Linked DNA regions of Notamacropus eugenii. The protein of the gene in region 3 interacts with the protein of the main gene of each other region in a biochemical or structural test. Links are inferred from orthologs where the notes say so. Each region holds a gene or a part of one and is shown on either strand. Other genes may lie near its edges.

Region 1 (7,102 bases), on a different chromosome or scaffold from region 3:
AGAACTAAATGCAACACCTCGAGTATGGTCTTACTAAGGTGGCATATGGCAGGACTCATCACATCCCTAGTTCTGCATCTCTTAGTTTGACCCCAGATTATACAAGTTTTGTTTTTTTTTAATGCCCATTGCACTAAAAATGCACGCTTGCTACCACTTATTTACTTTTTTCCCTATATAACCCTATTGACTCATACAGAGCTTTACATTCCACTAAAATCCTCAGATTTTATTCAAACAAATTGCTGCCTAGTCATGACACCCTTATTTTGTCCTTGTAGACTTAATTTTCTAAACCTGACTCATCCCAATTAAATGTAATTTTGTTAGATTTGGCCCAATGTTCTAGTGCTTAGCACAGTTCACAGTAGGCACTTAATAAATGTTTATTGACTAATGACTGACTAAACTGCTCTAGCTTCTACAGAGTTTTCTAATGCTTTCCAAGTCTTGTGCTCTTTGAAAATTTCATAAACTTGTTAAGCTTCATTGAAGTCACTGATAAAAATGTGGATCAGCACAGGACCAAGTACTGATCTTGAGGAATAATAACGGAAAGAACATAAGCTTTGCAGTCAGGCAAACTGGGTTCAAATCCTGGCTAGGATATTTACAACCTAGATGACCTTGGACAAGTCACCTATCCATTCTGAGCAGGCTAGAAACTGAAAGCCTTCAGGTAGGGGAAGGGGCCAGATACATTTTTTGGTGGTTGAGGAGAGCAGGCTGGCATTTGGCAGCACGCACCTATTATCAATGAGTGTACCCCAGGGCTTTGTCCTGTGCTTTTTCTCTCTCTACACTCTCTGTCTTGGTGATCACAACATTATCTGTGGATGCAAAGATCATCTCTGTACAGATGACTTCCAAATTTACATATCCAGCCCTCATCACTCTCTCCTGAGTTCCAATATTTCATCAACAACTGTTTGCTGTACATTTCAACCTGATGTTTAATAAATACATTGAATCTAATTATAGAATTAATCTCTTTCTTCAGTTTTCCCCCAGATGTTTGGCCTCATGTAGACTTGACTTTAGCTGATCGTACTTAAACACCAGATGAGAGAGCTGATAGCACTATTATAATCTGCTCAACTAATCAACATTCATTTACTCAGTAAGGCTCCTCTGACCAACAGGAATTTACAAGGTGGTGAGTCAGACTTCCTAAAGTTCTGCAGTGCCTGGCCGTGTCTATGTTTCATGCTCTCGAAGCTGCATCTCTCTATCTCAGATGATACTGCACCACGTCCCAGAGGAGCACAGATCACTTCCACCAAGGCCAGACTTACAAAAGAGAAATTATCTCGAGTATCGAGAGAAACTGGCTCCAGGCATTTGGAGATAAACTGAAATGGCCTAGGGGAGACAGGACTAAGAAGGAGCAGTGTGGGCTAAAGAAAGCTACTATTTGCTTGGGTTAAATTTCTGAGACTCTAAAGCTGGAATCTTTGAAAAGGAAGGCTAGCCCACACCGAAGGGAGGAAAGGTGCTATTTATAATTCAATAGCCAAGGTGTCCTGACTAATGCACCAATAGGAAGCATTTTTTTTAAGCTAAGTGTTCACATATTGATTCAAGACCTTCCAAATGTCTAGATCCTCAGATGCCCCCAAATATCCATGGGAATGGGAGAGTATTCTTCACTGGGTTGAAAATATAAAAAACTATTAGCAGACTATTTCCTTTTCTCCTGTTCCTCTTTTTTTGTTTTTTTTTTCTTTGGAAGAGAATGAATGAAAGACCACATTAGTGGCTTGAGCTGTTATCAAGTAGTCAGGAGACCTCAGCTGGCAGTCCAGATCTACCACCAAGTTAACTGTTTGACCTTAGAACCACTTGAACCACTGTTCTCCTTCATGCTGTTCGCCACCAGTGGTCTGAGGACTGAGGTATGTTTGCCTCCTTTCCTCCTTGGGAGGTTAAGAAAATGAAAGATTACAGGAGTGAAAATCTAGAGAGGCTTATAGGCTTCCAGGGGGTAAGTGCTATATGATTAAAGGCTATTCAGCTTATTTTTTTTTCCACAATTAGAGAGAGAAATCCTTAAAGTACCCTGTCTATCATCATCCAGGTAAGAAAGTTGGAGACAAAAAGGAGGGAACATGAGGAGGAAATCTGGGGAACGAGCCCAGAGGTCTTTGTGTGTACAGATCACTTCTCCTGCCCACCCCTCCACTCCCAACCCCCTCACTCCCCTACCTAGCACACCTCAGCAGGAAACTCCAATCATGCAAAAGAGATGTTCACCTTCCCCCTTTACCTTCCAATTCCTTCTGCTAATTAGGAGACACCCAGCCAGTATCAGGCAGGTAAACTGGCATCATGTTAATGTCCCGGAGGAAGATGACTTCAGGTTCATTAGTCATCAAGTGTTTGCACATCATTTTTGCAAACTGCTTTTCACTTTTTCCTGACTCTGCATATCAGAGGCTTCTTCTCCAAGGGTTATACCTATTAAACTCTCCTACCCATGCCACAGAACTACTGGAAAGTTGTGGACTGGCTTTGTGCTTCTTTCTTCTTTCATCCCTTCTTTCTTCTTTTCTCTCTTTATCTCCCTTCCTTCCTTCCTTCCTAATGTAAACAGCACTCTCTATTACCCCTACTATGGCCCCAACACTGCATTAAGTAAGCCCCAGGGCAAATGGTGAGAGCTGTATGAAAGAGGTCCCACTTCAGCCTCCTTCTATCCACAGTGCAAAGCTAATACTAACTTTCAGAAATCCCTTTATTGTTGGGGTTTCCTCGGGATGCCTAGCAAAGGGAAAAGAGGAGCCCAGCTAACAGACAGTGGATATGTAATACATAAGACCTACCTCTCCTGGTCTCCTGTACCTCTCCAAGGACTTTCTGCCAAGTTCCAGGCTCGTGGCTGAATCTCAGCTCTGAGTTCCCTGAACAGCTCCCGGCTCCTTTAAATTCCAGTGACAGAGGTGGGGTCTGTTGCATGGAGTGGGCGTGTTTCTCCCCTCTAGGAGAATGCCCAGTGGAGAGGCTGGAGAGATGGAGGCAAGCTGGGGCGGGCCTGCTTTTATTGCTAAGGAGGGGGAGGAAGTATGAGATAGCCAACCTAGCCTGCTCTGTCTGGCCTTGGGCCAGTCTGTATTATTCACTGGGTTTGATTTTGTAAAGACACACTTGGATTTCTAAGTAAGTATATAAATAAACAAGTGCTGGGAAGTTTCTTTGTCCAGACCTGGGGTCCCACTGCAGTTACCTGGCCTCCACTGACATGTGGTGGAGGGTTGGACAGGTTTAGGCCCACCAATTCAAGGATAGGATAGCAAGCAAGGCCAGATGGAGCCAAGGGATGAGACCACCGAGAGGAGGGGCAGGCAATGGTCAGATGACAACTGGGAAATGTTGTCCTGCCATAGAGTCATAGACTGGAGGGGACCTTAGAGGTCATCTAGCCCAATCATCTTATTTGGCAGAGGAGGAAACTGATGTCCAGAGGCAGGAAATTACTTGCCCAAGGTTACTCAGAGGGCAGGACCACCCAAGCCTAGTGTTCTTTCCATTACACCACACTGCCAGTCACCTACGACTAAAGCAAGGTCCCCACCCCAAAGTGTCTCCCACCATCTGTCATAGTGCCTAAAATGCCACCCTTTGAGTTATTCTATTTGTTCTTGGCGGCTTTTCAATTTTCCAGAATTTCACATTAAAAATGTGAATACCTCTGGGATTAGGTTATCTGGTTATCAGCCAATACCCTAAAGGGGCCTGTACCAGTACTGGAAAGAGACCATAGTTGTGGGCTCAGGGAGAGGAACCCTGAAAAGAGACATAGGAGAGATAAAAGGATAAAAAAAAATTGTCAACGGCAGACTTCTTTGCCCATTTGGCAAGATCTGCTTGTAAAGAGCCATCATGAAAAGGGGGCACCTTGGAATAGAAGGTGTTTAGCAAGCTGGAGCAGCCATCCGAAGTGAGCTATGATGAGCTTTTCACAGGAGAGAATATTATCTATTAAGTGACTTAACAATTAGCATTTCAGCAATTAGAAGAACTGACCTTCAAGGTCCTTCACAATCTGACCCTTGACCATCATTTTAGCTTTATTTGATAACTCCCCTCCACACCTCTACACTCCAGACAAATTGACCTATTCTCTAATAGCTTCCAGACAAGGTTCATGGTTTTCCCTATGCTCAGAATGCCTTCCCCTCCCCTTCTTCAGTTGCTGAAGATCTACCTATCTTACCAGAACCCAACTTAAATGCACCATGAAGCTAGCAACAACTTTCTGTCTGAGACTCCTCATAGCACCTTATCTTATACTATCATGTTATTTAGAGTATTATGATTGACTCTACAAATCTATAAGTTTGATGAAGGCAGGGACTACATCTCATCTAAAGCTTGTATCTCCCCCTCCAGGGCCTAGCACCGTGCTCACACTCGTAAGTTGTTCATTAAATGTTTGTGCAATTGAATTTACCAGATGCTGCTCATGCAGATCTCCGAGCAGCTCTGTTGGCTAAATCAGGAAAGGGAATTACTCACATTCCAATGAATATGAGATGGTTTTCCCTACCCCCAGCAGAATTCCAGGAGCACTTTAGAATAATACTGAATTATTAGCTACTGGATTAATAGAAATGAATCCTGCTTTTAATTGTGACAAAGAAGGAGAGACGAGAAGAAAAAAATGAAAATTAAGCCTAATTCAATCACAGTCTATGGGAATTTCACTTTTAAAAAACCTTTTTGTGTGTGTGTTATTGCTTACTAGCGAAATTACAGATCTTTTTTAAAAAATTTTTTTTGGGGAATGACAGAGTATGTGGGAGGAAAGCAAAAGTACACAGAAAAGAGGTTAAAAATGATAGGAACCAGGTGTCTACTCTATATGTGATTTGCAGGATGTCGACATAGCCCCTTCCTGGCCTCTGTGACCTTGAAAACAAATCCCCAGTGAGAAAGAATGATTTTTCCAGAGTCAGACAATACATATTTCAAATAATCAAGGATAATTTTATGAACAAGACCAAATAGAATCCTAAGGAGTGCTGGGACAAAGGATAGCTGGCAAGGAAGTGCTCTCTCAAGAGTTCCCAAGTTTGGCACTGTTTCTGTGGTTCCATGACCTTCCTCTCCACAGGTCCCATGAGTCATAGTCTCAGAGCAACATCGTGGGGAACAACTAACAGTGATGGGCCCCAATTATCAATTAAATAGGCAACAGGACATGGCATTAGAAAGGAGAACTAAAATCAGACCCTAATCATCCGAAAAAGAAATGACATCATGTCTACTGCAACCTGAAGGAGAGAAGTGGGTAAACCAAGGGGGCTGAGACAAGGTGGCTTAAGACAGAAAAGGAAGAGGGAAAAGAGCGTTTGACTTCAAAGTTTATGGAGTATATTCTGGTAGTCAATGGTGTTGAGGGGAATGGATCTTTATGGTTCTGAAATCTCCTTAGTATCTTTCTAGCATGGATTTTCCTAAATCTTTATCCAGACCAGTGACAAACAAGGAAGAGGGATCATATTAGATCCTTGAAAACAAAATTAAGACCAATAAGTAGAAGTTACAGTAGGCAGATTTAGACTTCATAAGAAGGAAAACTTTTTAATGATTAGAGTTGTCCAGAAGTGGCAGAATAGGCAGTGTTAAAGGTAGTGAGTTCCTCATCAGTGAAGGTTTTCCAATGGAAGCTGGATGGCCACTTTGTTAGCAAGGATCCTCTCATGAACTTATTTATATTTTCAATATGCACGTCTGCTTCAAGGTGTCAAATCCCCTAAGGCTACTATCTACTGTGTAAAATAATATTGCTTTCTATCTTCCCACCTCTGCTTTTTCCATTCCATTCTTTCCATCCCTGCCAGGTTAATACTTTTCTGATCAGGTTACTCCTGTGTTTAAAACCATTCACGGAACATGATGCTATAGAAAGTACATTAGACTTGGAGTTAGGGAGACCTGGGTTTCATTATTACCTCTGACATTTACTAGTAGCATGTCCATGATCAAATTATTTAAACTTTCTTAACTCTGTGTCTTCATCTTATAAACAGGAGTAATAATACTTCTGATACCTACCTCATAAGATTGGGGGATAACACGTAGGAGGCACTTTGCAAACCTTAAATATAAGTGTCAGGAATTACTATTGTCTACAAATAAAGTTCAAGTCCCTTAATCCCTTTAGGGACTACCATGAGCTGGCACCATCTTTCCCTTTCCTGGTTTATTTCAATCTGCTCTCCTTTAAGTACCTTATTCAGGATTGTGCTGGTAAATGCTTGACAACTGGTTCTCAAAAAAATGTATACAGGGCACACTTTGGGGGTGGGGTAAGTGGGGTTAAGTGACTTGCCCAGGGTTACAAAATTAGTAACTGTCAAGTGTCTGAGGTTGGATTTGAACTCAGGTCCTCCTGACTCCAAAGCTGGTGCTTTCTCCACTATGCTACCTAGCTGTAGCAGGACATACTTTCAAATTTAATTTGTATTATTAACATTTTCTTTATCACTTTCTTAAGTCTATTAAATCAATAAAACGAAATCAAGACTTGGTTTGTAGTGATTTCTAAGGTATTAATCTCACTTTGATATTTTAATAATAATATAATAATAAGATCTAGCACACTCCTGTCTTTGATACAGATGAAACAGGTTGCTCACCATCTTCTGTACACACACCATGCTGTGCCTGCTCTGTGTCTTTGCTCATACCCTCCCAGCTCCTGGAAAATTCTTCCTTCATCTTTGTCTGTTGCAATCCTACCTGTACTTTGAATCCCTGCTCAAATGCTTCCTCCTCTAAGAATACTTCTCTGATTCTACCAGATGGAAATTCCTCCTTCTACCTCAGATGTCATAAACTATTTTGTTATTGTCTTGTGCACTCATCATATATTACACTGATTTTATCTTGTCCTGCAACTCTTCTGAAGTTATTATTCCAATTAGTTTTCTGTTGACTCTCTAGTTCTCTAAGAAAATCATATCATCTGCAAAAAAAAAATAACTTTCTTTCTCTGTCTATATTTAATCCCTAAATTTCTTTTCCTTGTCTTACTGCTATAGTTAGCATTTCTAGTATTGTGTTAAATAGTAGCGGTGATATGGGTCTCCTTGCTTTA
Region 2 (8,060 bases), on a different chromosome or scaffold from region 3:
ATAGGGTCACTGTGGCTAGTCCTCTGACTGCAGCATGAAGCTGAGTCAAGGGAAGAAAAAGGAACTTTCCTAAGTGACGGTTAACTTGGGGCCCAAAAGGTCACCCCTTCCAGATGATTTCTGTTCTGCAAACCCAAACCCACAATGGAAAAGGGAAGGGGATGGAAGACAGAAATCAGAGTGACTGTTCTCTTGCAGCTTGTCTCATACTTATTGTATGTACCAAGCAGTGACAGAGGCCTGAACAATGTCCCTGAGTGGGAGAGAGGGTGCTGTTGTATTGGCCACAAGACTCTGAATATCTTTCCTCCCCATCCCCTTCAAATGTTCAGGCTTTCCCTTTAAAAATCAATGGGGAAGGCAGAGTACAGAGCCTACTAAATGCTAGGGGTGGGGGTGGGGGGAAAGGAGTTATACTGGGGTGGGATGGGGGGAAGGAATTGGTAGGGGTAGGGATTGGATAAGCTCCTCAAAGCCTGAAGGTGGTGGAGGTAGGAAAGACAACCTATATGTTGAGGGAGAAGGGATATTGTCAGACATTAACATCTTGAAGTTTTCTTACCATCTGTTCATTGAGGAGGTTATTATATAAAATACTGGTTGACAGTTACTTTCTCCGGCCTTGGAGGGAGTTAATATTTCACTACTCTGGGTTACAACATCTGTGTGTTTATTTTGATCTGGGAAGTTGGGAAGAAGGGAAGAAGGGAGAGAGGGCTTAGATCAGGCCATTTTTAGAAGGTGGTCCACTCTGAGGGATAGATCTACAGTGGCCCTGATCATCACCTGAGAGTCACATAAAGCCTTCCCTACAGTCTCAGCTCAGATGAGTTCAAGGGGCAATTGTCAGTCTTCCGCCAAAGAATCACTTCTGGTGATCTCATTTGCTTCCCTTGTCCATTGGACAAGTTTATTTTATTCTCAATGATTGGTTTTAAAAGATTCGTGAGGCACGTCTGAGACCCACCAGGAAATCATTCTCAGGGCAAATAAGGTTTCAACCTTATTTAAAGCATCAACCACAAATGCTTTCTAAGTGAGATGTGGTAAATAGGGGCTATTTGTTTATGTATTTAATTTTCAGATCAGTAAGAACTGTATTTAGGGAAGATCTTCTACATAAGATCTCACTTTCTCCTAGCCCCCAAAAAACATTCTGGACTTAAGACACCAGGGTATCTCTAACCCTGGCTGGGTAGAATCACTAAGATAATTTTCATTTCAGGTCTTGATGGCTCTGACTAGGATGAATTGAGCCCCTTTTAGTGATGTCCGCAATTCCGTAGAATTCAGTCCTCCTCACCCTCATCCCACCCTCACCCTCAGCCCCTTTAGGACTTTAAAAGGAAAATTCTAATTGTGCTAGTAATGTATGGCAAAACTTGAGAGTGAATTTTAGGAAGCATCCTCCCCGTCTCGTCCCCCACTCCCCCACCCCCAGTGCCTCTCTACCGTCCCTCCAAAGAAACCACCCCTCTCCTCAACGCCTAAGGGTTCCCTGGTGTTCTTTCCAGCTGCGGCCACAGAAACATTGTCCCTTCCTCTATCACTCCACTCACCATTCCTGATTTTCAGCCGCTTTGGGGTTAAAGCGAATATCGCTCTCCACGTTGAACAAGACATCGTCCTCTGTGAGAGGCGGAATGGCGATATTATAGAGAGGGTGTTGGAACAGGGCTACCAGCTTGGAGCCGTCCTTCCCCAGCGGCACTTTGCTCGCCCTACTCCCATCTTGGATGAGGTGTTTGTGGGGGAGACCTCGCTGCACTCCGCCTCCGCCACCGCCGGGCTCCAGCCTCTTGAACGCCGCCGCCGCTGCCTCGGACCTGTCCGCGGCTGCCGCTGTCCCGGCCCCGGCCCCGGCGCCGGTCCCTGTTCCGGTCCCGGGGAGCTTCTCGAGCGAGTGGGAGGTGAGGTTGGAGCTCGGGTCGCTGCTGAAGTCCTGCAGGATCCGCAGGGTGTGTTTGTTAGGCCAGCCCGAATCAGCCCCGCTCTTAGTCCTCTGCTTCCCCCAGCCTTGCGCTTCCTCGCTCGGGGGGTGAGAGCAGGAGCAGCCGGGGTCCCCATCACTCCTAGCCGCGCGCTTCTCCAACTTTGGTAACAGATCGATCACGATGTGCATGGTGCAGGCAATCAAAAACACCATGAGGATGAGCACCCGGAATTTGCGGACCAAGATCATTTTCATGGCCAAGGAGACTTAGAGAGACTGGGGGTTGCCACGAGGAGGAGACTAATAAATTAAGAGTTTTAAATAGCTAAAAGTGTGTATGGAGGGGTGGGGGAGGAGGGGTTCGTAATGGTGGGTGGGAGAGGCTTTTTCACAGAAAAAGCTTTTAAAAAAATAATTCTGTTCTACTCATGGACAAATCAAACAATTAAAGTCAATAAAGTTATCTTCATAAGACAGTTAAAAAATAAATACACTTAGAAGCCAAGAGTCTTCACTACCTCCCTTTTTTGTTTTTAGAAAAAAAACTGCCAAAAAATTCCCCAAAGCGTGCCATCTAGAAACTGTTCTTTTATTATTATCATTACTCTGCCTAATACATGGATCTCAGGGAGGTTCCCCCCCCCCACTCCGAAAGGAGGATGGAGATGGAGGACGACTAAAGGGAAAGAAAAAAAAAGGATGGGGGTTAAAAATAAAAAGCACGCACAAACACACACATGCAGCACCCAGTGAAGAATTCAGGAGAGGAAAAAAGAATCATCCATAGTGCTTAGAGAAGACGCGTCTTCCCATCCTCTGGAAAGGGACCCGCGATGCAGCAGGAGGAGAAGCAACGGGACGCGCTCTCGTCCGCAGCCCGGTTACAAACATTGGCTTGCAAAGGCTGCGCTTATAAGATTTCCAAATCCTTCCATCCACCACCACCACCTCCAGCGCCCCGGGGAAGCCAGAGTCCCGGCTGGTTGGGCTCGAACCCGCGGCGCTGAAGCTCGATATCCAGGCACTTGCACGGTTCGGCGTTGACACGGCCGCCAAGGCGAAAAGGAGAGCTGGCACAAAGGACGCACGGAGCTGGGGGGGAGGGGGGGACGCTGGGAAGGGAGGGAAGGCGACGCTCCCAGGAATCGGTAGCTGCTCTGCCGAGGGGTGGGGAGGGGAAAAGGGTGGGGAGGGGGGGAGATGATGTCTCTCCTTGGATCTCGGCTCAGACTTACATTTCTGCCCTGAGAGAAGAGGGGGGTGGGGAGAAGGGGAAAGGGCGAAGCGAGGAAGAGAAAGCCAACCTCGGAGAGGAGAGAACAGAGCTTTGGGCAGGTGCAGTGTGAATGCCCCCTTTCAGCTACACTGCATGCTGGAGACTGACTGGGCTAGTACTGCTGCAGCTCCACTTCTCGGTGGGTGTGTTAAATATTATGTGCAAGCCATGAATCCAGCCTCCCAGACGTCATAGGGAAGAGATTGGCTAAAAAAACGCTACAGTGATAGTAACAGGAAAGCCTCCACCAAGAAAGCAAAGCTCTCTCTTTCCCTTTTTTTCGCTGCTCCTTCTCCCCCTCCTCCCGCCCTGGCCTCACCCCTCCATTTCTCTGCAGCTCCTAGCAGGGCAAGGAGAGGGCGCCTTTTTCTCAAAGGTTTGCAAAAAGAGAAAGAGAGAAAAGGAACCCCAGGCTGATAGCCTTGCAAAGTATTACAGCAGTCTGACTGCCTAGACTAGGGGAAACAGGAATTCTGCTATGTCATTGTCTGGGCAGGAGACGGCTTTTCCTTTCTTTGGGGGGGGGGGGAGGGGGAGTAGGGAGGAGAGAATGTCTATTTCTTGTTTTCACCCCCGCCCCGTCTTCTCTTCCCCTTTTACAAGCGTCTCCTAAATCGACAACAAAAGGTAAAAATATAAAGTGAACGCGCCCCCCCCCCCCAAGAAGCAGCGGGTGCCGAGTATGAGGATTTGGGATAGACTCGTGCTGCCGGGGCGGATTCCAGCTCAGTAGATAACGCCCTAGTGAAAAATGAGATCAGGGCACTGACCCTATTCTCGGTCCGGCAGGGAGCAGGGTGGGGGAGGTTGAGGGGGAGATTGGAGATCAAATAGGCGGGTGTGTGTGTGTCTGTGTGTGTGTGTGTGTGTCTGTGTCTGTGTGTGTCTGTGTGTCTGTGTGTGTGTGTCTGTGTGTGTCTGTGTGTGTGTCTGTGTGTCTGTGTGTGTGTCTCTGTGTCTGTGTCTGTGTGTGTCTCTCTGTGTCCGTGTTCGTGTTGTTGCCCGTGGCTTTGATGCTGAAACTCCCTTAACTGGGAGTGTTTTCTGATTTTTATTTTTTTATTTTTTGCCACGCAGATGAGATGCCAGACTGCCGAGGCCTTGGGAAGGAGCGTTGGCTAATCCTCAGCTTTGGACTCAGTTACAACTCACAAAATGAGAACAGGACCCAGGCTGCGGGCAGCCCTGTCTTTAACCCTTGAAGCACCTGGTTCTTAAAGTTGGATTAAAACGACGTATGCAGCTGGAACTCTTCCGCTGTCGGTTTGCCCACTTTGGGATGGAATCGCTGTATGGGACTCGGGCTGTTAACCTTTCTGCGTGCTGTGGACCACCTCCCTCATCTCTCCACCATGTCCGTCTGGCGAATCTTATCGACCTCTTCTTTGAAAAAGGTTTTCAAATGTATTAAAAATAAAAATACTTATGATTACAAAGGAAGCCAATTATTCTGAAACAGTTATTAAAATTAAAAACACAAGTTCACGAACTTCAGGTTAAGAACCTATTTTATTAGAGCACTCACCTAACATTTTGAGATCTTTTCATTTATTTTCCTGCTATGCACACAGTAAGCATTTACTAAATGCTTATTGACTTATGTGGTTATATTAATTATATAGCATAATATATTAATAACATAACTACTTGCCATCAGTCATTACTAATATAATGTACTAAAAACGTAACTGTTTCTATTACATGGTCATGTTAATAATATAATATTATACTAATGATAATGTAGCTGCTTATATTATACTGTCATGTTATACAATATAACATTAATAATAATGTTAATAATAATGTAATAGCTTACATCAGCCGTATGAGTTAGGTAGCACAAATATTGAACTTGTCTTTCAAAAAATATTTTGATAATTATATTTCAAAATAATTGTCTTTCCTCCTAGTCCTTTTATGCTTGTAAAAATATTCTGAGAAGGGGTCCTCAGGGTTCACCAAAGGAGTCAACGACAGAAAAAGGGCTAAGGACCATGCCCTAGTCCAACCTCCTTATTTTGCAGATGAGGAAACTGAGACCAGGAGAAGCAAAATAACTCTTCCAAGTTCATGCTATGTGACAGATAGAAAAAACTCCAAAATTCAAACTTGAGCCTTGTAACCACAGAGCCAGGACTCTTTCTACATTCTGAAGAAGGCCTTTCTCATCTTCCCTTTCCTTTTCACTTACCCCACCCTCCCTTCCTTTCTTTTGAGAATATGTTCCATTTAATCTGGATGTAGTCTGTAATCTACGGGTACAAAGTTATTTGCCCCTGTCAGAATGTGAGTTCATTGATAATAGGGACAACGTTTTTTTTTTTTCTTTTAAATCTTTCTTTATATCTCCAACACAGCATAATTCCTGGTAGGGAGTAACCTCTAAATAAATGCTTGTTGACCGACTGGCTGACTATATTACTCTGCCTCTACTCACAACAACACCCAGAGAAGAACAAAGACTGTCACACCCATTTCATAGATGAAGAAATTGAGACACAAAAAGATAAAGGGACTTGCCTATAGGCACACAGTGTTAGAGCTGGTATACTATCAGTTCCTGATTCCAAATCCAACAATCTTTTCCCAACGCCACACTACCTTGATTTTTGGATTAGCTATGAGGGCCAGTGGGGAAGAAGAAGGACTTCAAGAGGCTTCTTCCCATCTCTCAGAATGCTTTTGGGCCACCTCTCCTTTCTATCGGGTAGCATTTGCTTAGGGAATACAAATTAATCTTAACATTAAACTTAGCAAAGATATTGTCTCCTTGGGAAATAAATATTCAAAATGAAACAATTTGTTTTGTGGTTTTGAAATGCATTAGCCTTTGTTTGGGATTTTTGAGGCATATTGGAAAGAGCACTGGCTGTGGAGGCTGAGGTCCTGGGTTCAAATCCCACCTCTGTCCCTACCAGTGTGGTCTTGGGTCTGTCACTTAACTTCCCTAGGACTCAAGACAGCTTCTGGAGTCCCCTCCAGTTTTAAGTCTATGATCCTATATAGTGCATATGTAATTGTATATGATCATAATTGTGTCTAAGCAAGAGTTGGCTATCTATGGCCAGAGCAAGAATATAGAAATCATTATATAAAAAGAAGTGTTACCTTACTGATACAGTGTAGTAAAAAGGGCACTGGACTCAGAGACAGAAGACCTGAATAATTTGTAAAGGCTCTGCCACTAATTGGATGTGTGAATGGACAAATATTGTCATCTCTCTCAAACCTCTGTCAAACAAGGGGGTTGGAAAAAGTATCTTTGAAGGTTTCTTTAAGCTCTCAAGTTCTACAAATAAGCAACCATGCTCAATATGGAGCCAACAGAAAATGAAAAACAAATATTTCCAGAAGTGAAATCAAGGCTATGTAAAGCATAGATCTGCAACTGTCAAACAAACCAGTAAGACCATAAAGATAAGTATTTTACTTTGTGAAGAAAATTGGAGCAAGAAAAATTAGCTTGTTATAGTTGAAATTTGATTGGGAAATGGGGAAAAACTGGAAGAGTTGGGGTAGTAATCTGCTCACAAGGAAGAAATATGGTCACCATATTGAAAAAACAACAACTGGTTTTTGCAATTCAGATTTTCCCCCTGGTATTCCTGAACAAGTGGCCCAACTATGATTTTTTTAGTCTCCCACGTTTGCCAGTATCTTAGAGTCCATATAGGGAACAGATTCCCTATTGGTGAAAAGGTTTTCCAGAAGCTTCTACTCACGGGTAACATTTTGCTGATGGCAGTGAGCCCCAAAACATGACAGGGCCTTCTCAATATCATCCAAGGTTACTCAAAAGAGATTGAACTAGAAATCTACTCAGGTTAAAAGCAAAGTGGATGAAGGACACATTTTTTACAGTATGTTATTACAATATGTAGTTGCTTGGGGTAGACCTTTAAAGCCATTGCATCAGATTCCTAGTTACTTCCTGAAAATTTGAGGTGTAGATAATATGTTGCCAATGGGCCTCCACCCTGACCTTCTTTCTTTGTGCAGCTTCTCTTCTAGTGGCACAGCATCTTTACATCCTTAAATAAGTAATCCTTTGATAAGACTACAGGATTCTAAGATGCCCCTTAGAGCCCCCCAAGCTCTCTCTCCCTAGATATTGTGTTCTTTCCCATCCCTGTTTATTATTCAATGGCTTAACCTGTCCTCCTCCTAGAGAGCAGATATATATTTTGTGGTCCAAGTTTAGTTGTTTTTCAGTTGTGTCCAACTTTTCATGACTCCTTTTAGGGTTTTCTTGGCAAAGATAATGGTGTAGTGTGCCATTTCCTTCTCCAGCTCTCTATACAGATAAAGAAACTGAGGAAAATAGGGTCAAGTGACTTGCACAATGTCACACAACTATTACGTGTCTAAGACAAGATTTCACCTCAGGAAGATGAGTCTTCATGACTTCAAACCCAGCATTTTATCTACTTCCCCATCTAGCTACCCATTTATACTTTACAGAGCTGAAAAAAACATTCATCCAAAGGAGTGACTAACCTGTGAATTTCAGACATTTTATTCAGATATTTCAGGATATTTCATGTCTGTGTAATCTCCATTTTTGCATTCCCGACTACCTGGTACCTGAGGATGTTGACAGGAGCCATAGGAATCTCCCCAAAAAGGTCATTGCCTGTGCTTCTTAATCTAAAATATATGTGCTTGCCTGCTGCCCTCTTTCTTACGCACCACAGCAGTTTATTTCCCTCAGAATAAGTTAGCATCTAGCTGTGTGGTTTCATTAGAGGGACTTTATGTAACTTCTGAGTGCCACAGAGGTTGTACTTGGGGATAACACAGCTTTAGGCCACTTGTTTATTCCTCATGATTTACATGGATGAATCAAATTAA
Region 3 (7,111 bases):
TGGTGGCATGCTGCTTGCAAAACATGGGGAGAATGGTGTTGCCACCCTTTGTGACTATGCGAGAGATGGAGCTGGTGCCAAAGCTTTGGAGAGGAGAGATAGTCTTTATTTCTACTTTGAGAAACTTGAATGGTTCCATACTATCTTGTGGACTGACTTGAGAAACACAGAGACAGGCTTTGGAAAGGGTAAGCTTGCATTTCAACATGTTTTCCTGCTTAGTTGGGAAGTGGATTACGGAAGTATCCTAATGGTAGTCCGGTGAGTGTCTCAAGCCCTTCTACACCCTCTGGCAAAGTCACCATCCAGTTCAGAAATAAAATCCAGGCACCAGGTACCAGCAGCCTCATTAATCTATAGTTCTTAGACACATCCTTCACTTCAGACAGATCAACCTCTTCACTTTTCTCCAACACAATACTTACTCTTGTTTCAAAGTATTTGTTCACTCCATCCCTGTGGTCCACCCCACTCCCACTTGGAATATCCCTTCTTCCTGACTCATACAAACCCTATCCATCCTTCAAATCCAACTTTCTCCAGGCAGTCTCCTCTAATGAAGACCACATTGATGAAGGCATTTATAAAGAGTTGTAAAGTTTACAAATCACTTTACATACATTACATCATTTGAACCTCACTACAACTTTGTGAGGTAAGTACTAAAAGTACTATTATCTTGATTTTATAGATGGAAACTGAGACTCAAAGAGTTAAATGACTTATTCATAGTCACAAGGCTACTAAGCTTTAAAGATGAATTTATAGCTTGATCCATCATATGCCAGTGACATAGATGTGATTATCATGACAATTCAGAGTCCAAAAATCATCTTTCAACATTTTTGTTCATCTGAGATTTTCTGCTTTGGAGTAGTGAAAGCTGGATAAAAAGCTCGCCACTCTGTGGGACTTTATTTGGGTGACTCAATTCTAAAAGCAGATCCACAAATAACATTTGTGATCCCAGATTCAAAACATGATAGGAAAAATTCTCACATGGAGATTTTCCATTTTGAAAAGTAACAGCTAAGCGTGGGGCTCCACCATTTCTATTTTAAGACTCAATTTTTGAGGACTTTGTTGGAAATGTTTTAATATGCCCAGGAAAAAGACTGATTCCTATAACTTGGGGGCAGCTCCCTAGAACTTGTTAAGGGATGCAAGCCATTATGATTTTTTTGTCTGTTGCATACAATAGTAACAGAGAAACAATTAAAATCCTGTCATCAAATTGAAGTTATCTAAAGGCAACAAAGTCAAATCTTGATTATCTGTAGTAATGAAGGACCCAGAAAGCAAGAGTAATTGAAATCCGTATATCACCTAAGCCTCATTATATTTATAACTTTCTTAAGTTTTTAAATGCCTTTAAAAATACCAGGCATTCGTTTCTCATTCTCAAGATTCCACTTCATGGAACTCTCCCTCCTTGGGGGAATATTAGAAAAGAAGGAAAAAGGAAAGAGAGAGAGATTAGCAAAACTAGCTTATAACTGACAGTATATCCAATGTTCAGTTCCCACTGCTCAAAGCCTCATTTTAGCTAACAATTTCAACTTCATCTGCTATTTCATCTTTGGCTAGAGCCAGACACTGAGCAGCAAAACTTGACTGGCTCATTTAAGCGTCTCCGATCTCTCCATTCTTTCTCCAGAGCTGATTTTTCCAATCATTTAAAGAGAAGCAATGAATTTGTCTAACAGAAAGAAACACTAGAAACCAGACTTTGGATAAATGAGAGTTGAGTGCCTCATCGATAAACACATAATAACTTTTTTTTCTTTTTTTAAAGACTTTGGGAATATTGCCACATGAAGCTTTTCTGTATTTAGACAATTTCCTGGAGAAAAGGTTGACAATTTTCAGAAAGTATAGTCAGTTCATGAGACTATCATTACTTCTGAAACACCATTATCTATTTTACCAACTCCCCATCGTTCTGACTAAATAATAATTCACATTTATCTGGTACTTCAAGGTTTGCAAACCTCTATTCTCACTACAGGCCAGCAGCATTAGCATCATTATCCTCATTTTTATGGATGAGAAATACCATTCTGAGATGGATAGAGAGCCAAGAAGAACTGATTCAAGTCCTTTGTGACCCCAGGTATTAACCTTTTGGTGCTCTAGGCAAGCGTCTAAGGTTATAAATTATAAAGAAGGTACAAACCTAATGTGACAAAGGAAGTTGATTCTCAAGGGAGTCACCAGGGATATCACAGATTCAGCCTATCCTCTCCTCCTTTTACAAATGAGGAAACTGAGGCTCAGAGAAATTAAATAAATTTGTCCCATGTGGTATAACTAGAAAGATTGTATAAGATCTTAAACCTAGGTCTTACTTCATTTTAAGTTATTCTCAAAGTGTCTACACTCTTTTCCCACAATACGTATATTTTAAAAGATTACTTATTTCCCTTAAAAAGGGCAGTGAAAAATTTCTACAAAAAAGTACTATAAAAACAACATTTCTTGTCAAAGCAACAAAAAGTAGGAAACTAAACATTAAAGTCTGAGAAAACCAATATTCTTAACTATAATTACTGAGTCTAAGCATGATGGTGTTATTCATGGCAGACATTTCCTGACTTTTCGAATATCCTTGCAAGACTTGGTTGTTCTGGACCAGACTAGAATGTCAAAACCTTCCCTCCACTCCCCCTCCCATTCCCATTCATCCCTTGGAATCTTTACAGTCCTTCCTCCAGTCCTTTGTCCAGGAACAGGTCAGGCTTATCTAGAAAACTGCATTCTGGCAGTTGGGGTCCCCAGCCATGAAACACCAAGTTTCTAACTGGTCTGAAGCAGGAAAATTTATGAAGCTGATAAATAGTAATGATTTCACGTTTGCAGGCCAGTCTCACAAGAACTGCAGCTCCCTTATGGAAGTCTTTGTGGGCTAAGCTGAAAGAAGATAGAAATAAAAAAAGAAAGTAAATAAAGAGAAGCATACCCAGGCAGTGCCCACTACACACAGGACCAGGCAGAAGATCCTCCCTGGAAGCATCTTCTCAGGGGGTGGAAATGAATAGCAAAGAACTTCTGTTGGAAGGATAGCTTGCACTGCTTTCTTCTTCCCATTTAAGTGCCCTCAGAAGTTTGAGTTAATGATTGACTTTGTCATGTTTACAGGGTCAAGAGACAGTCTGCATCCCCTTCTCCTCCTGTCAGCTCGGTGCCCCAGAAACAGTTGCTTAACTTTTCCTAGCTTGTTTGCTTCCGATAAGTTGTTGCAAAGGTGACATTCACTTCTTAGACCAGCACTGGGGGTGTAGGGGGTGGGCTGGACTGGGCTGGACTGGGAAGCACACATATTCCTGGAACAGAGTGAATTGAATGTTACCCAGAAGTTGATTTTGTAAAACAAATGGGAAAAGGGAAGAAAATGCCCACACTTTCTCATCTGGAGGATTCAAACTGGAACTACCAGTGTCTCTACAACACAATGAAGTCAAATGGCTGTTTAACAACTCCTCATAAATTTGGTTACTATAAACCCCTACCTTGAAGCCTAAATTATCCAGCTGAGTGAGCTGCATTTCAAGAATCCTGCAAACCTTTGACAAATCTCTGCTTTGATATTAGCTTTGTGAACTAAGTCCAGAACAATTTTGGTAACCAAAGAAGAGGAGTCATAGAATAGGAAAATGGCACTCTCTTTAGAGCCAGAAGATCTGGGTTTGGCTACCTATTAGATCCGCACACTTTGTTAAATTTCTTTACATCTCTGAGTCTCACTTTCCTCATCTGTAAATACAATAACACTTGTACTACTCACCTCATTAGGGTTATTAGGAGGATCAAATGAGATGACAGTTGTAAAGTATTGTACAAATGTTTATTATGTTGATGACGTTAATACTCCAGAAAGTTCATGAACTCATGGAAATGGATTTCTCTCCATTAGTGCAGATTCTAATCTATTCACATTTTTTTATCTTGTGTCATTCTTATCCATGCTACAGAGAACTAGACAATGCAGTGGATAGAGCAGTAGGCCTGGAGTCAGGAAGGCCTGAGTTCAAATTTGGCTTCAGACGCTTCCTAGCAGTGTGACTCTGGGGATGTCATTTAACCTCTGTCTGTTTCTGTCTTCTCATCTGCAAAATGGGTTTTGCTGTGAGGATCAAATGAGATAATATTTGTAAAATGCTTATCATAGTGCCTGGCACATAGTAGGTATTTAAGAAATATTTGCTCTCTTTCCTGGGCATAATCGTGCGTCTTGACTGACTGCTTCAGTCCTGACTCAGATGCTCTCCCTTATCCCCATATACTCTTCTCTGTTCTGTCTTGCCAAGGGCTCTGCTCCCCTTAAGCCTTGAACTGCCCTGAGGAAGGCCACCTGGGCTTTATAGATTGTTCTAGATACTTCATTCTCCCACCTCATTGAAGGTAGAAAGAGTGAGCCTTTGAACACAAGTCAGATGCTGGAGGGCATCAATACCATGTCAGGGTCAGAAGTTACTCTTTCTTATATTTCTTGACACAAGGGCTGTGACCAGTCGGGCATGAGAAATGGGCATCTGGGTATTTTCAGGAAACATTCTAACACCACAAGAAAAGGCCAAAATTGGAAGTGAATTCAGGGTCCCTGAAAAGTTCTTAGACTTAAAGCTGTGGTCATATCATGCTTGCTGCTTGGCATAGTTTCCTTGGTTCACTAAATATGGCATCCTTGGAAAGTCCCTAGGTAGACTTTCTAGTGCCAGCTAGCAAAAGTTGCAGAGAACCCAATTCTACTGAAGTGGAGTTGGATTCATAATGTTATATTTATTTATCTGGTCATATATTATATCCCTCCAGAAATATGTAAAATCTTTGGAGGCAGGAATAGTTTCATTTTGTCTTAGTATCTCCAATACTTCACACATAATAGGTATTTAATAAGTGGTTGTTGAATTGAATTGGGACACTGTAACTAAGGACACCTCATGGAGAGCTCATGGAGATGAGCAACAGGGGTAAATGATAGACAGACAGACAGCTATTCAGATGGAGCAATGGAAAGCAGAGTGTAACATAATCAGAGTAACATAATCTTTTGAAGAAATTTGAAAATCAAAATCCACTGAAATGTTCTTTTTTGTGAAACTAAATCAGGTACCACTCTTCCCCTTTCTTCAGAAATAGTGGTGTCCCTCACATGCTCGGGCCGAACTCTATTTTCCATTGGATTTTTTTCAATACCACAAAGCATCCAAGGCTTCAGCCTTGTAGATGCTCTTTGTGCTAATGAAGAACATATTCTGCACCTCCTTGGCCAGAAGATGATTTTGTGAATTTCAAAAGATCAGAAGATTGGGACATCCCATTGCCATCTTAGCAATGTCCCCAGAATAGACCTCCTGACAGTAGCATGCAGATTAGGAGGCAGGGACAAACCAGAAGCGCTGAATTAAGAGCATTTCCAGACTTTTCTAGGAGCTGTACTGTATGAGTAGACCATATTCTAGGTGAACTTCATCAGAACCCTGCCAAGGAGAATGGGGTTAGAGGGGAAAGAAAGCAATACAACTTACTAGGAGCTGTGATTTTCCTCTTTACCACACAAGCTCTCCAACCCTGACTCCGCTTCTCCCTCACCTTTGTATGTTCTTGTGGAGGAATGTGTCCCCTGTTTGAGGGGATGTTTTATATCAGTTATTCTTACCATATCACTTCAGTAAATATTCATTTCTAAAAGCTAATTAAGTAGGATCAAATAATTTATATCAACTGATAATCAGTGGGAAAGTAAACTGATGATGGGGCTTATAAGCAGTAGCATTAGAAACTCCAAACATTAGCTTTACCTTTAGCAATCAGAGAAGAAAAAGAAATTAAAGGAATTAGAATAGACAAAGAAGAAACAAAGCTATCACGCTTTGCAGACGGTATGGTGATATACTTAGAGAATCCTAGAGAATCAAGTAAAAGAACTATTTGATATAATAAATAACTTTAGCTAAGTTGCAAGATGGAAGGAAGGATGGAAGAAAGAAAGAAAGAAAGAAAGAAAGAAAGAAAGAAAGAAAGAAAGAAAGAAAGAAAGAAAGAAAGAAAGAAAGAAAGAAAGTAAAACTTCCAACCCCTTAGCAATGAGGGAAGATGCAGCTATGCATACCCTAGGAACTGCACCTTTCAGGTTGTGTATGGGTTGGGAAAGTGACCCCAGACCTTGCCTTAAATATACATTACTTCATCCAATAGACACAAAACCGTGAAGTAGGTACTATCATTATCCACACTGCACAGATGAGGGAGCCAATATTGGCAGAATTGAATTGACTTGGTTGTTTTTCATCCTTCGTTCTTGAAGAGGACAAATGCAACAGAAGAGTGATGTCTTGAATTGTATTTAAGTGAGGCAGAGCTATGCCAAGTCATCAGCCTCACTGTCTCCTCCAGAGTCATAGGAGTCCAGAAGTAAGACAGAAGTCCGGATAACTATCAATGGTCTAGGATGTAGTAAGAGATCTTGGTCTTTTTAGGCTAGGGTCTTTCCTAGGTCTCAGTTTGTCTGAGGCAACACCCATTCAGTGATAAAAGGCTAGGTAGGAATTAAGACAAAAGATGGCCTAGTTTTTCCTTCGCAAAGAATCAATCTGGGAGGGAAAGACCCTCAAAGTTTCTGTCCAGAACAGAAAAGTCTATGATACTAGATTCAACTCAGACCTCAAAATGCAAAATTCTAGGTAAACAGAGTCCAAAGTCTCCTTCAGTACTGATGCATATATCAGTCCACGGAATCATGATGGTCATAATGTGGACACAAACAGTGTCCAAGGGTCCTAGGTGAGGCGTATGATGTTGTATCTGAAGATGCTGAATTTGTTTTCCAAGTTTTCAACTCTGAAAGACTGTTGTACTGAAATTGCAATACAATTTTCACCAATAATAGGTATGGGGAAAGTTCTAGGAGCATGGCATCATTGACCTAGAACGATCCTCAGGGGCTGAGAAGTCAACTGGCTCACCAAGGTCACACAGGTAGTGCCGGAGGAGAAATACGAGCCCAGTTCCTCTTACTCAAGGAGAACCAGTGTTCTTTCCACTTGACTTCAGTGTTGCTGTTTGCTCATTTCAGCCATGTCTCACTCTTGGCATTGTTATTTAGTATTTT

The links.
Region 1: the proteins of FGA (region 3) and PLAT form a complex in vitro, tested with the Homo sapiens proteins (2 studies listed by BioGRID). The link is inferred for Notamacropus eugenii from reciprocal best matches to the Homo sapiens genes FGA and PLAT.
Region 2: of the proteins of FGA (region 3) and FAM20C, one has a biochemical effect on the other in vitro, tested with the Homo sapiens proteins (2 studies listed by IntAct). The link is inferred for Notamacropus eugenii from reciprocal best matches to the Homo sapiens genes FGA and FAM20C.

Annotation. Positions count from the first base shown.
Region 1 is NC_092872.1:618,372,076-618,379,177, reverse strand, and holds the start of PLAT (tissue-type plasminogen activator), read right to left. Parts: upstream 3,012-7,102; 5' UTR 2,823-3,011; intron 1-2,822. UniProt on the Homo sapiens protein: Converts the abundant, but inactive, zymogen plasminogen to plasmin by hydrolyzing a single Arg-Val bond in plasminogen.
Region 2 is NC_092874.1:391,528,293-391,536,352, forward strand, and holds the start of FAM20C (extracellular serine/threonine protein kinase FAM20C), read right to left. Parts: upstream 3,009-8,060; 5' UTR 2,189-3,008; coding exon 1,560-2,188; intron 1-1,559. UniProt on the Homo sapiens protein: Golgi serine/threonine protein kinase that phosphorylates secretory pathway proteins within Ser-x-Glu/pSer motifs and plays a key role in biomineralization of bones and teeth.
Region 3 is NC_092877.1:153,119,382-153,126,492, forward strand, and holds the start of FGA (fibrinogen alpha chain), read right to left. Parts: upstream 3,070-7,111; 5' UTR 3,014-3,069; coding exon 2,960-3,013; intron 1-2,959. UniProt on the Homo sapiens protein: Cleaved by the protease thrombin to yield monomers which, together with fibrinogen beta (FGB) and fibrinogen gamma (FGG), polymerize to form an insoluble fibrin matrix. Fibrin has a major function in hemostasis as one of the primary components of blood clots.